Caenorhabditis elegans: one gene and its partner. The protein of the gene in region 1 purifies or fractionates together with the protein of each later gene. This does not show direct contact. Each region holds a gene or a part of one and is shown in the gene's direction. Other genes may lie near its edges.

What was found.
Region 2: the proteins of plg-1 (region 1) and tag-278 fractionate together in Caenorhabditis elegans (co-fractionation; one large-scale study listed by BioGRID). This does not show direct contact.

The regions. Positions count from the first base shown.
Region 1 is NC_003281.10:8,849,891-8,853,763, forward strand, and holds plg-1 (copulatory PLuG formation), read left to right. Parts: upstream 1-2,370; 5' UTR 2,371-2,373; coding exon 2,374-2,449; intron 2,450-2,492; coding exon 2,493-2,531; intron 2,532-2,580; coding exon 2,581-2,816; 3' UTR 2,817-3,116; downstream 3,117-3,873. Other genes in the region: F44E2.9 (uncharacterized protein), read right to left, coding at 218-428, 484-641.
Region 2 is NC_003284.9:3,683,229-3,691,164, reverse strand, and holds tag-278 (Putative protein tag-278), read left to right. Parts: upstream 1-1,959; 5' UTR 1,960-2,020; coding exon 2,021-2,044; intron 2,045-2,521; coding exon 2,522-2,628; intron 2,629-2,704; coding exon 2,705-3,024; intron 3,025-3,070; coding exon 3,071-3,185; intron 3,186-3,231; coding exon 3,232-3,480; intron 3,481-3,530; coding exon 3,531-3,737; intron 3,738-3,788; coding exon 3,789-4,057; intron 4,058-4,136; coding exon 4,137-4,318; intron 4,319-4,367; coding exon 4,368-4,764; intron 4,765-4,809; coding exon 4,810-4,958; intron 4,959-4,999; coding exon 5,000-5,346; intron 5,347-5,391; coding exon 5,392-5,493; intron 5,494-5,552; coding exon 5,553-5,751; intron 5,752-5,811; coding exon 5,812-6,237; intron 6,238-6,280; coding exon 6,281-6,435; intron 6,436-6,505; coding exon 6,506-6,628; intron 6,629-6,679; coding exon 6,680-6,800; 3' UTR 6,801-6,953; downstream 6,954-7,936. Other genes in the region: C02F12.8 (uncharacterized protein), read left to right, coding at 7-314, 360-619, 674-835; tsp-17 (Tetraspanin-17), read right to left, coding at 7,151-7,225, 7,411-7,494.

The DNA.
Region 1 (3,873 bases):
GTTAATAGTGAGATTATTTTGATAAAGATTTCGAGAAATATTGAAATATGCGAAAAGGTAGTCAAGTGGAATTGTCACCAGTAGGAAAACGAAAAAGGCATTTAAAAAGTATAACATAATTTTAACAAAATCAACATATTTAACAAACAAGAGCTATCAACCGTTATAAAAGACTAAGTAAAGAAGTCGAAAAGTTATCGAAATAATCAACAAATTTTCAAATTATTCCACCAAATTTGGCTTCTGGGCTTTTCGCATTCGTGTATTGCTCCAAACTTCGGATTTCTTCACGTCGAATCGATCTCAGTTTATTCTCAAAGTCCATCTCAAAATCCACAAGATTTCCAGATTTGCAGAAGAGATCAAAATCCGGAGAGATCAGCCTTTTCAAGTCATAAACAATATCGGGAGTGGGAAACGCGAATTCTCTACAAGAAATGCGAAAATTAAATTCCTTTTTTCGGTAGACTAGAAATTACTTACAAAACTAAAACTGCTAGTCCAATTTGCCACAATATATTTGCTCCGGAAACTTTGACGAAATCAAAAAAAGCCTCTTTTTTGTTTTTGAACACTATTCGCTCCCGATTTGGCAAGAATTTCCAGTTTTTGCTGAGTAATCGACGAGTTATTGAGAACATTCTACAAAGAATCGAATAAAGGTGATTTCAAAATGTTTCTCAAAGATAAACAACGTATTATGCCAAGAAAATTATACAGAGAGCATTTTACGGATTATTAAGTTTAGTACCAAAAATTAAGAGTACTCTTATTAATTTTTCAAGTTAATTTAAATTCTAAATCATTATAATAAGGAAATAAAATCGATAAAAACTTTAAAATTTGTAGAAAACAGAATATATGTAAAATTAGAGCCATTATGCTGCGATAGAACAGAGATTGTAGAGAGTGTGCACGCAAAGAGACACAGAGATAGATGCAAGTGTTCGGCCGTCGTGGAAATTCTAGGCCACGGATAACTATTTTGGCGGAAATTTAAAAACGAGTTCCTCTTTTCCTAGATTTATGCTTGTTTCTCGGAATTTAGGGGAAAATATAATTACTTAACATTGTACCTGTGTTCTACAATCAAACTGAAACAAGAATGAGAAACAAGTCAATCCCATTCTCCGGCAAGTTCCACATATAGAAAATAGTTTTATCTTAAATACTTCATTTTACAGACTGCTCTGTGCAGTTTAAATTATGGAACTTCAAAAACCTTTTTTTTCTACATGAAATGAATAATTATGTCGAACTTGAAGCTTGTACCTATCAGTAATGGGGTTATTCAAGTAGTGTCGGAAAATTAAAAAGTGTAGAAAAATTACGTCACAACCTTATTCAAGTATATAAAAACATGTATTTAAATACATTTGTGACGTCACAAATGTATTTAAATACATTTTGCTACATTACTTGAATAACCCCATAACTAAGATCGTGACGAGACCCACTCAGACAATCAGCGTATGCCTTTAAACTAACATATACACAAGTTTCATGAATTTATGATATTTTTAAAAAATCAAACACGCGACTAAAAATTGAGGACCCATGCGATGGACGGGCCCGAACTTATCAGAAGTTAAAAAAAAAACAACAACATAATAGACTTTTCTATCGGTCGAAATCGCCTAAAGAAGGAGTGATATTTTCTATGACTCTCATTATCAGTTTCAAAGTTAACAGTTAGAATATTAAAAAAAACGGAGGATTTCAGAAAAGTGAGAGACATGGTTTGATACTGTTCAAAATCTGAAAAAAAGTTACTTCAAAGCTGTAATCATATGTTTCTCTGTGGGGATTCAATTTTATAACTAATTACAACTACATACAAATATTATTAAAAATTGCCAGTTTTGCTCTTCAAAACCGGAAATTCCTTTAATTGGATTTCCAAGGCGCAATTATTATCTTTTTCTACCATTTTTTGATTTTCCTTTGTGTTTGGCTTCTCATATATATATATATATATATATATTTTCCATATTCATATTTTTATTAAGTTTTCCGAAATTTTAAATTTTGTCCCTTCTGAGATATTCCTGAATAACTTTTACATTTCTTAGCCGCTTTCAATAATAGCTTTCTGAAAAAAACACAACTTGGAGACTGCACAGATTTTTTTCAAACTTGTTTCACAGAATCGAGAATTTGCAGTGAAAAAGAAAAGAAAGAAGCTTCTGTAAACCGAAAAATGGTTTGCAATTTTTATATCCCCCGCATAAAACGTCAGCAGAAGCGCAAGTTGCAACTATAAAAACGGAACAGCCTTAAAAACGGAGGTATCGGAGCAGAGAGCGTGTCGACATTTCTTTTCTTTTCAAAAACAGTTTTTCAAAAGATTACCTATTTTGTTTTTCTTATAGGATGAAGCTGCTAATCGGCATCCTCCTACTTTTTGCGCTGGTAATTCATCATGATGTTCTAGCCATAACTCGGCCAGGTAATTTAGTTTTATCGAAACCTTTTCATTAATTTTTTTGCAGATCGCCATCGTCATAGAAAGACACATGATTATCCAAAAGGTTGGTAAAACCTATTCAAATAATGAATCTTCAATAATTAGTTTTTGAGGACATAATCGAACAAAACACAATTCCACAAAACCTGCTGACTGTGTTCACAATTGCAATCATTACCCGGGATTCCCACCGACACCGCCTGGCGTTGACTTGGGATGCCATAATTCAACGACGACTATGTCGGGTTTAACCCGTTTTTCTCTTAATTCTCTCCGATTAGCTCAAAGGGTAATTCCAGACCTCAAATCTTTATTTAAAAATATCTTTTGCGCAAGCAAAGATGACTGACGCACTCTCACGCTGGCGCACTTCTCGATTCTGGCGCGAAATCAGTTTTTGTCATCTTTTTTCGAGGATTCTTCCTCATTCTTGGATTTTGCTCGGACACAGCGTGTTGACTCGTTGTTAGAGCTCCAGTTTCAGTGGTTTTGGCCTGTTGTTGGCTTATTTTTATAGTCTTTTATTGTTTTTCTTGGATTTCTGGCGCTCTGCCTGTTTCTTTGAAGGTTTCTGGTTTAGTGTTGATTCTTCTCCAGTTCCTTGGTTTTTGTATACTTTTCCTCTTTCTCTCAATAAATTTATTTGAGAGTTCTTAAAAATCGTGTTTTTCTCTTTCTTTTGGTCTCGTTTACTGGATTGGATTCAAGTTCTGTGGACAGGAACTTGACTTGGGGGCCGAACCGCCGTTGGTTTCCGTGGAATTCTCGTTTTTCGTTGCGAAAATCGAGTGGATTTTGAAGAATTTGGATCGTCTCGAGGATTTTTCTTTTTGTTAGCTTGCTCTGTACGAGTAGTTGATAAAGAGAAAACAAAAAAGCGATTTTTCTGGAGCTGAACGCTCAGGAAGTTCTGATTTTTTCCAGAATTCTGTTTCTGTCTCTGTAAGAGCGGGGATAGTGATTTCTGCCGAATTTTTTTGAATAAAAGTTCTGGAATTTCGAAGATTGTAAAATTCCTAGTGAATTTTATCGATTTTTTGAGTTGAAAGCTTGATTTTTTCAAGTTTTTGCTGAGAAATTCAATTTCTCATCAAGAAATTGGTGAATTTTGCTGATTTTTGCATCGAAAGTGCGAAATTTTGCGGAAAAGTTAAAGTTTTCGTGAAATTTTGAGATTTTCGAAAACAATCTTTGATTTTTCGGTGATTTTATTCGATTATTTTGGTTAGAAATAGGAAAATCGCTCGCCGATTTTTCATTTTTCTGGAAAAAGTCGTGAATTTCCGCAATTGGAAAAAATCGATAATTGGATTTCACTGGATTATTCGCCTTTGAGTTTGCAATCGTTTCGTGGGATTTTTCACATTTCTTGTTGATGTACTCTCAAGTTTTTGCTCATTTCTTCA
Region 2 (7,936 bases), on another chromosome or scaffold:
TTTCAGTTTTGTACCACAGAAAACACAAAAACTCGTCTACCCGCTGCCATTGTCAAAAGTCGAAAAACCATTGCAAAAATGTCAGCAGACTTTGGCCGCTTCCACCATTGACGAGGATAGCAAAGAAGCATCAACTATTGCTCTACCCGACGCCAGGAAAAAGTTGACAAAAAAAGAAAAGCGCCTTATGGCTGCACAGAAGGCAAATCAATTGGAAACTGATGACGATGTACTGGAAGCAGCATATCGAGAAAGACAGAAGCATGTGGAGCAAGCTGGTGGTGACTACTCAAGCTCAGGACAGAAAGACCAAAGTGAGATTCATCATCGCCATTTGGTACTAATATTTTCAATTTCAGAAAAGAAGCGAGGAAAAAGACCCGTCTCGAATCCACCGCCATCGTTGATCAGTCCCCAAATCCTGCATGCAGTTCAAATGGCAATTGCTAACAGAGCAAAGAAGATTTCAGAATCGGGTCGTCCAATTTTTCACGAAAATTTCTCATATCAAAAATTCTATGAAACGGTGGATACTTTTGTGAAAACTTGGGAAGAAAATTCGAATGAAATGAACAAAGTGTTACAGTTTATTGAAAAACGCATTTTGGCATTCAAAATGGTGAGTTTTAATGAATTTTGGTACTTTTAAGTGTCTCAAACTGACTATTTACAGGTTCAACGTCCGCAAAGTCTCTCGCGTATTACAATCTACGAGCAACTTCAGCTGAACTTGCCGCCAGCTATTCTTCCGGAACTATGCTTTTTGGCCGGTCTCACCAGCGATTCTACTGACAAATTAGAGTATTACGAAGAAATTTTCTTCAACCTTTTCTAGATTCCGTTATTGTTTGTACACATTGTACCCAGTGATCAGATGTTTTAACTGTGATTAACCATGACCATTCAGTTGTATTTTTCAGTCCATTTAATTACGTGTCATTGTCTTCAATTTTAATTTATTGACTTTATGGGTAAATCAATTTATGTATTGAGATTTTTAGAATAAAAATGTCTAGTCTTGTATTTCTTCATCTTTTCAGAGGCTCTAACCAGTTTCAAACTTCTACCAATTTTAAATTCAAGTTTAGAAAGGGTTGAATAACTCAAGAGACGCGTTTTTGACTTCACAAACAAATTAGGCAAACTGGACAGACGGACATTATTATTTTGTTGATTATTTATTATTACCTCAAACATTTAATTCCCAAAATCAAAATCAAAATCAAAAAATCAAAAGAGATCGTGCTTAAGTGAAACTAGATGAAGAAGTTAAATATAGCTATTTTTGTCTACGAAATATTTTTGAAATTGAAACATTTTATCCAATCTGTATGTTTTGAAATTAGGCTGACGAAATCTTTTGAAAAAAAAAAACGCTATCGAAGAGGATACAACTTTTGCTCATTTTTTCCTTATGGCTTACAACAAATTGAAAAATTAAAGCAATAAATCTAAATTGATAGCCCCCTTAATCTATTTTTCAATCAATCCGTACACATTTCGGCAGCGTTATGCTCACCGTCATCACATTCATCGGGTCTTGTCAACGTATCCTATGTGCACTGCTGTGTGCGTACTCATTATCTGATATAGCAGTCTCGATGTTTCTCCCCCTCCCGGGTGAGTGGCACAACGTCCATTCGTATATCCACCGCCGGTGTTGAGTAGTATCATGTCGACTACAAGGCGCAACAGTTGGCTCTTCTATCCGGATCTCTTAGTCTCTTCTCTTGAACAGTTGCTCGTTCGGAAGTGTCCAGTCACTTCTACATCTCTCTTTCTGAATCACTCCTTGTCTATTATATCGAGAACCTCTAGGCTTCTATACCTTTTGTTTTACTGAATTTGTATTTTCTGATAAAGGAATCCCTAATTTATTTTTATATAACTGTTCTCTTATTTATTTTTTCGTTTACTTTTTCTAGTTCTAGACATAAAACTTAATTCAACTATTTTCAGCGCCACGTCATCACTTAACCACAGATAATCAGTCTAAAGAGGGCTGTCAAAGCCCTTTTCAATGTCAGAGCGCTTACGAGAAAGAGTGAGTAAATTCAATTTGATTAGGCTTTCAAACTAAGCCAATCTGTGTGCTTTAAAAATGCTACTGCATTGTAAGCCTAAAGGTTTGCCTTTATTTATATGCACAGCTATCCAAGTTTCGCTAAGAAAAATTCGAAATATTTCTCAAATTAAAAGTTATAGTTGTTCGAAGTTTTGGAGAAAAGGCGCAGTTTCAGCTGAAATTTTAATCTTTCTTAACTTGAAAATATGGTGCATAATTCGATGAATCAACGCGTAAAAATACAAAAATGTGGTACAAAAAGTCGTAATTATATAACAATAAGATTATGTCCGCTTCGATACCGATAAGTGTGTAAAACCTGAGAAAATAGGTATTTTTTCCAACAATTTTTTAGAATTTTTCAGAACGGATTTTTACTCAACCTTTAAGTCTAACTGATGGTTTCTCAGCAACATCAACTGTTTTTCTTGAACTTTTAGTAGTAACCTGTTTCAGCTTGGTATATTATCCGAAGAGTTTGATGGAAGTCTCCGATCCGCATCTCCATCAGGAAGTCGATCACCTAGAAGAATGAGCAGATCTCCAAGGCCCCATGGAACTCAGTGAGTTTCATTTTCCTTTTCGTTTGCGAAATGTGATACTTGATACCTCCTTACCCTTAACGTTTTCTTTTTCCAGTGAACCAGCCGTAGGTGTGACTCGACCTTTCGTAAGACAATCCCATCCTGAAATCGCTGCTTGGCCTGCACCTCCACCGGCGCATCAACTAGGTTGCCTCTCTGGAAATGTTCGAACACCAGTCGGAGGACCAGCTCCCCCGTCACCAGTTTTGCGGAGGGCACCAAGTGGCCCGATTTCACCATCTCCAATATCTCCAGTTAGCCAACATTCACGAGCAAGTTCTAGGCATGACATTGATAACACTTCATTGCTATCAATTTTGAAATTGTCACATGTTGCAAGAGAATCATCGAGAAATACTTCTAGAAATAATTCACGTACGTGTAAAATATTGAAAAGTTGGAAACAATTAAATTATTCTAGCTCAGCCAGCTGGACGAGAAACCGAATTGAAAAGGAAAATTCAAACACTGGAAGAAACTGTGGCAGAGTATGAAAGGCAAAAATACAACGTCATGGGCACATTCAGTGAATACAGGTTTGTAAAGTGCATACAATTTTGAAATAATGTTAGTTATTTTCAGAGAACGAGTTGCTGAAAGGGAGCGAAAGTTAGAAGCTGAGTACTCTGGTAAAATAATCGCCCTTTCTGAAGAAGTGCTAGGTGCCAAAAAGGACTTTGAAGCAAGAATGAAAAGTTTCCAAGCTCTCCAAGATAAATTCGAAAGGGAGAAAGAGCAGGCTCTGGAAAAGCTCCGCAAGGAACATCAGAAGGAAATTCAAGTGTTAGAACAACGATTTTCAGATACACAATTGCTCAACCTAGAACAAAAGTGAAAACATTTTTCTGAATTTTTTTTTCATTAACTGAATTATTTTGCAGATATATAATTGAAATTCAAAGGTTGGAAGAAGAACGGAAGTCTTTGCGAACTGAAAAAGAAAGACTCGGTGAAACTTTTGAAATGAAGCTTCGAAGAGCTCAATCTTTGTATGAAACTGAACTAACTGCTGCAAAAATGCTCTATACTAAGGAACTGGAAGCCTTGAGAGATCACGAAGAAGCACTGAAAGAGGAGCTTCTTGCTAGGTACCCGAATTCAAAATTTCACAGTTTCTTTCACAATATTTTTTATTTCAGACAAGATGAGTTTCACGATCGGCTTCAAGAGTTGCAGTTGCAATCAAAAAGAAGTCGCGAAGATTTGGTGTCTTGCAAAAACGACGTTACTGCTCTGGAAAAGAAACTCCACAATAAAGAAAAAGAAGTTCAAACTTTGACAAAAGAACTGGATCAAGTGAAAACAGAAACGAATGATAAGATCCGACGGTTGACTGAGGTAACTTCCGAGTTCGCAGAATATCGCAAGAAGTTCCAGCAACAGGAAGAAGAGTTGAGAAGGAAAGCAAGTGAGGCCTTGTTCCAGTTTTCATATTAGAATATCTTCATATTTATGTTTAAAAAATTATGAAAAATTTGAAATTTTAGGATTACTGACCGTCGTTGAAGCGGCAAAAGAAAAACTGGAATCTGTAATTTCCGATCTGCAAGTTGAAGTGAAAGCTTTGAAAAATAAAGTAGAGTTTTTGGAGAAGGAACGTGAGAACCTGCAAAGTCAAAGTGAAAGTCAGACCCAACTCCAATCTTCTCAAGTTGATGCTCTCGAAGCGGTATACTACCCAACCTATACCCACTTATGACCATATTCTCATCTTTTAGGTATTACACAGCGTCACAAAAGAAAAGGAGACAACAAAAGAACACTACGAGGGTCTTCTGCTCAAAGAACGCCAACAAGCTGAAAGCAGGGAGCATGCGATGAAAAAAGAATTTAGTTGCAAACTGAATGAGCTTGAAGAACAGTATACCAGTCTGAAAGAGGAGCTCGAAGAATCGGCACGTCTTGACAAGGATGAGCTTAGAGAGGCATCTGAGATTGAGATTCAAGCTCTGAGAACTGAAAAGAGCATTCTTGCTGCAGAAATCAGAGTTTTAACTCAGAAAATTGAAGATGAAGAGCAGGATGATATCACCGAGCAGCTCGCGAAAATTGTCGAGGATACTTCTCAATTGACTAGAACTCTTGAAGAATACAGGGAAAGAATCACAGGAAAAGGTTATTGATAGTTAAAAATTTTCATCATTAAAAGCTCATTTTCAGATGCTGAGATATTGAACCTTCGTAAGCAACTTGAGAAAGAAATTTCTCACACCGAAGATAGGAACCGATTATTACACGAAAACACTCAGAAGGAGTTGGAAGCGCACAAAGAAACTCACACCGAAACTGTGCGAGTCCTTGAGGCTGAGGTGAGGTGGATTTGAATTCGCGTTGAAAATTGAATTTTCAGATTGATCAATTTAAAAGTGCATTTGAAAATGAACAAGAATATGGAAAAGAAAAGTCTGCAAAGATTAGAGAGCTGGAAGCACAAAATAAGACATTACTCTCTGAAATGGAAAAGGTGAAACACGTTGCTGAAAATTTGGAGGCTTTTACTTCTGATAAGGACAATCTTCTCGAGGAGCTTGAATCCAAAAACAAAAACATTGAACATTTGAAGCAAGAAATTGCTCAGCTCAACGAGAAGATTTCTACGAAAGAAACCGAGAAAGACAGCGAACTTGAAAAAACGATTGCACAGCTCGAAATTGATAATAGCTCGAAATCTGATCAAATCGAAAAGCTTCATTTAAGGTAGCACATTTTATTATCCTAAATGTTTAGATAATTTTTTTACAGAGTCAATGACATGCTCGACCAAATGGGTACGATTAAAGATGAGCTTGTAAAGAAAAATGAGGAGATTAAAACGATCAGTGCTAAAACTGCTCAACTATTAGAGTAAGTCAATTTTCACTCTTCGCTTTGTAATTCGCTACTACACAAAAATATAAATTCAGATCAAACACCGTAGAGTCTGAGACAAAGCTTGCCAGTGTCACTGAAGAACGAGAAAAAGAGATCCAGAGTTTCCAAACTCAAATTTCTGAGAAAGATAATGAAGTTTTGACGAAAGCTGAACGAATTAACGAATTGGAGACTTGTCTGAAAGAACGAGAAGTCGAGTTGACAGGCATGCGTACAAAACTCGATGATATGGTATAGTTCACTTTTCTAGTCAAATCTTAAATTTTAAATCTCAAATAATTTTTATTGCAGACTCAACAACTGAATGAGGAAACTACTGTTGTACTTTTTGACAACTCTATTCAAGAAAAAATCGACGAAAAGGAGGCGACCATCAACGAAATGAACGAGAGATTGAAATCGAGAGAAAACGAAATTGCAAAACTCCACGAAGAAATGTACATGCAAAAAACTCAAAATGAGAAGCGAAACGAAGAGCAAAGCAAGCTTTTTCAAGAATTAATGTTTGAGAAGGAGCAGTTGGAAGCCGAAAAAGCAGAGCAATCACACATTGAAGCAGAAGTCGAACAAGTTTTCCAAGCCGATAAGGAATCCAAATGGAAAGAGCAAATTGAGGATTTGGAAAATGCACTTCAACGAAAAAACGAGCTGATCCAACAATTGCAAGACCGTCAGACTGATGAATCAACCTCTGAGCCCCATACCAAAAAACGAATGGTAACTTAAGAAAAGACTTTTTTGGAAAATTGTCGAATTACAGAGTATCACTTCCCATGGTGTCTTTCAAAATTTTGTGAGTCAGATGAAAGATAAAAGAGAAGAGGCTAGTGAAAAAAGAACAAGAAAAGAAGCGGAGAAAAAGGCTGAAAAGGAGAAAGAGAAAGCTGAAAAGGCAGCCAAAGAAGCTGCAAAAGAGTGAGTACAGAAACCAAAATACAGGTTGTATTGAATAAACTTTATAATATTGAATAAACTTTAATAATAGGTTGGCCCGTGAAAAGTCGCCCGCTCGTGCCAAGTCCCCTTCAATTCTGACAAGATTACGAGATCGTAGTCCAGCGAAATCGAAGTCGGACAACCTCGAATCGACTCCATCTTCTTCTAGCAGGTTCTTATTATTTAATTCAAACACTATTTGACAATCAATTGTTACTTTCAGAAATCTACTTTCTCCATTTGACGCAGAAAAACGCATGGAGCGAAGCTCACCATCGCAACAATTGTTCAGCCGAACTAAGAAAGATTCGTCCTCCGAAAAGCGACCGGCGTGGAAATTTTAATCACTAATATATGTTCTCAGTCCTTTTTAATTTGTCATTCGAACATTTTAATTACCTGTATATTTCTTGCGCTCTACAGATCATGGCATAATATCTTCACTTTTTGTAGAGCTGTGACGTTGGTCAGTGCTTGCAATGAATGATTTATTAATTGATTAATAACTTCAGATTTTAAATATAAAATGGTTCCACAGGAAGAATAAAACTAAAAATTGACAAAGTTTAGGCAAGATGGTGAAGATATTAAAAATATTCAAAGAATGAAAGAAGTTTGAGGAATAATCAATGTAGAATGCGTAGTAATAAGTGTACCCTGTTTGATATGAAAATTTAATTCACCGTAGAGTGATTTAGTAGTCATCTCGAATTACATGGTAAATGCGAATTTTCGAGATGAGACAACATGAGAGGCAAATTCCAAGCATCTGAAAATAAATATTTAAAACAGTTTTTTTTTTGGATATTGGGATGTATTTCTCGGAAAGGTATGAATTTTTTAATTTGTTTTTTTGGCTATCATTTTACAATTTATACATGTAAGAACTTCTATATCTAGTGAAACATGTGATTTTTTTTCAAATGCCGAAACAAATGTCTGACCCTCCCTTACCATGGTCAGTGCAGAACCGAATCCAAATCCTACGAATATCCAAATTTGCTCGTTGAACCACGACATTAGTCTTTCACTACACCCCTGAAAACTCATTTCTTTAGAAATAAATTAAAAACTTTAATATTAGCACAACAATCACACCAGCAAGAAAACATAATACACACTCACAACAGTGTTTACAGATGTGTCAAATGCCGTGGTAAGGTAGCGATATGTTGTGCACATCGGGTCAATGGGAACCGGTGCCCATGCTCTTCCAACTTGAGCTTGCTTGCAACAACTTGGCGGGACAAACGATCGAGTTCCACGCAACGTGTTAGTAATGTACCAGAACGAATCCTTGTAGTCCAGGGGACCTTCTCCCCCGCAACATTGGTGCTAAATCTCTTTCATTTCACAAAAATTGAAGAACAATTTTATCAAATTGATGAATGTGACACCATCGTCTTGTCTTCCTTGGCCTCTTTGTCACACCTTTACACTCAATCACTCTTAGCTCAAATCACTTCACTCATTAGTCGGG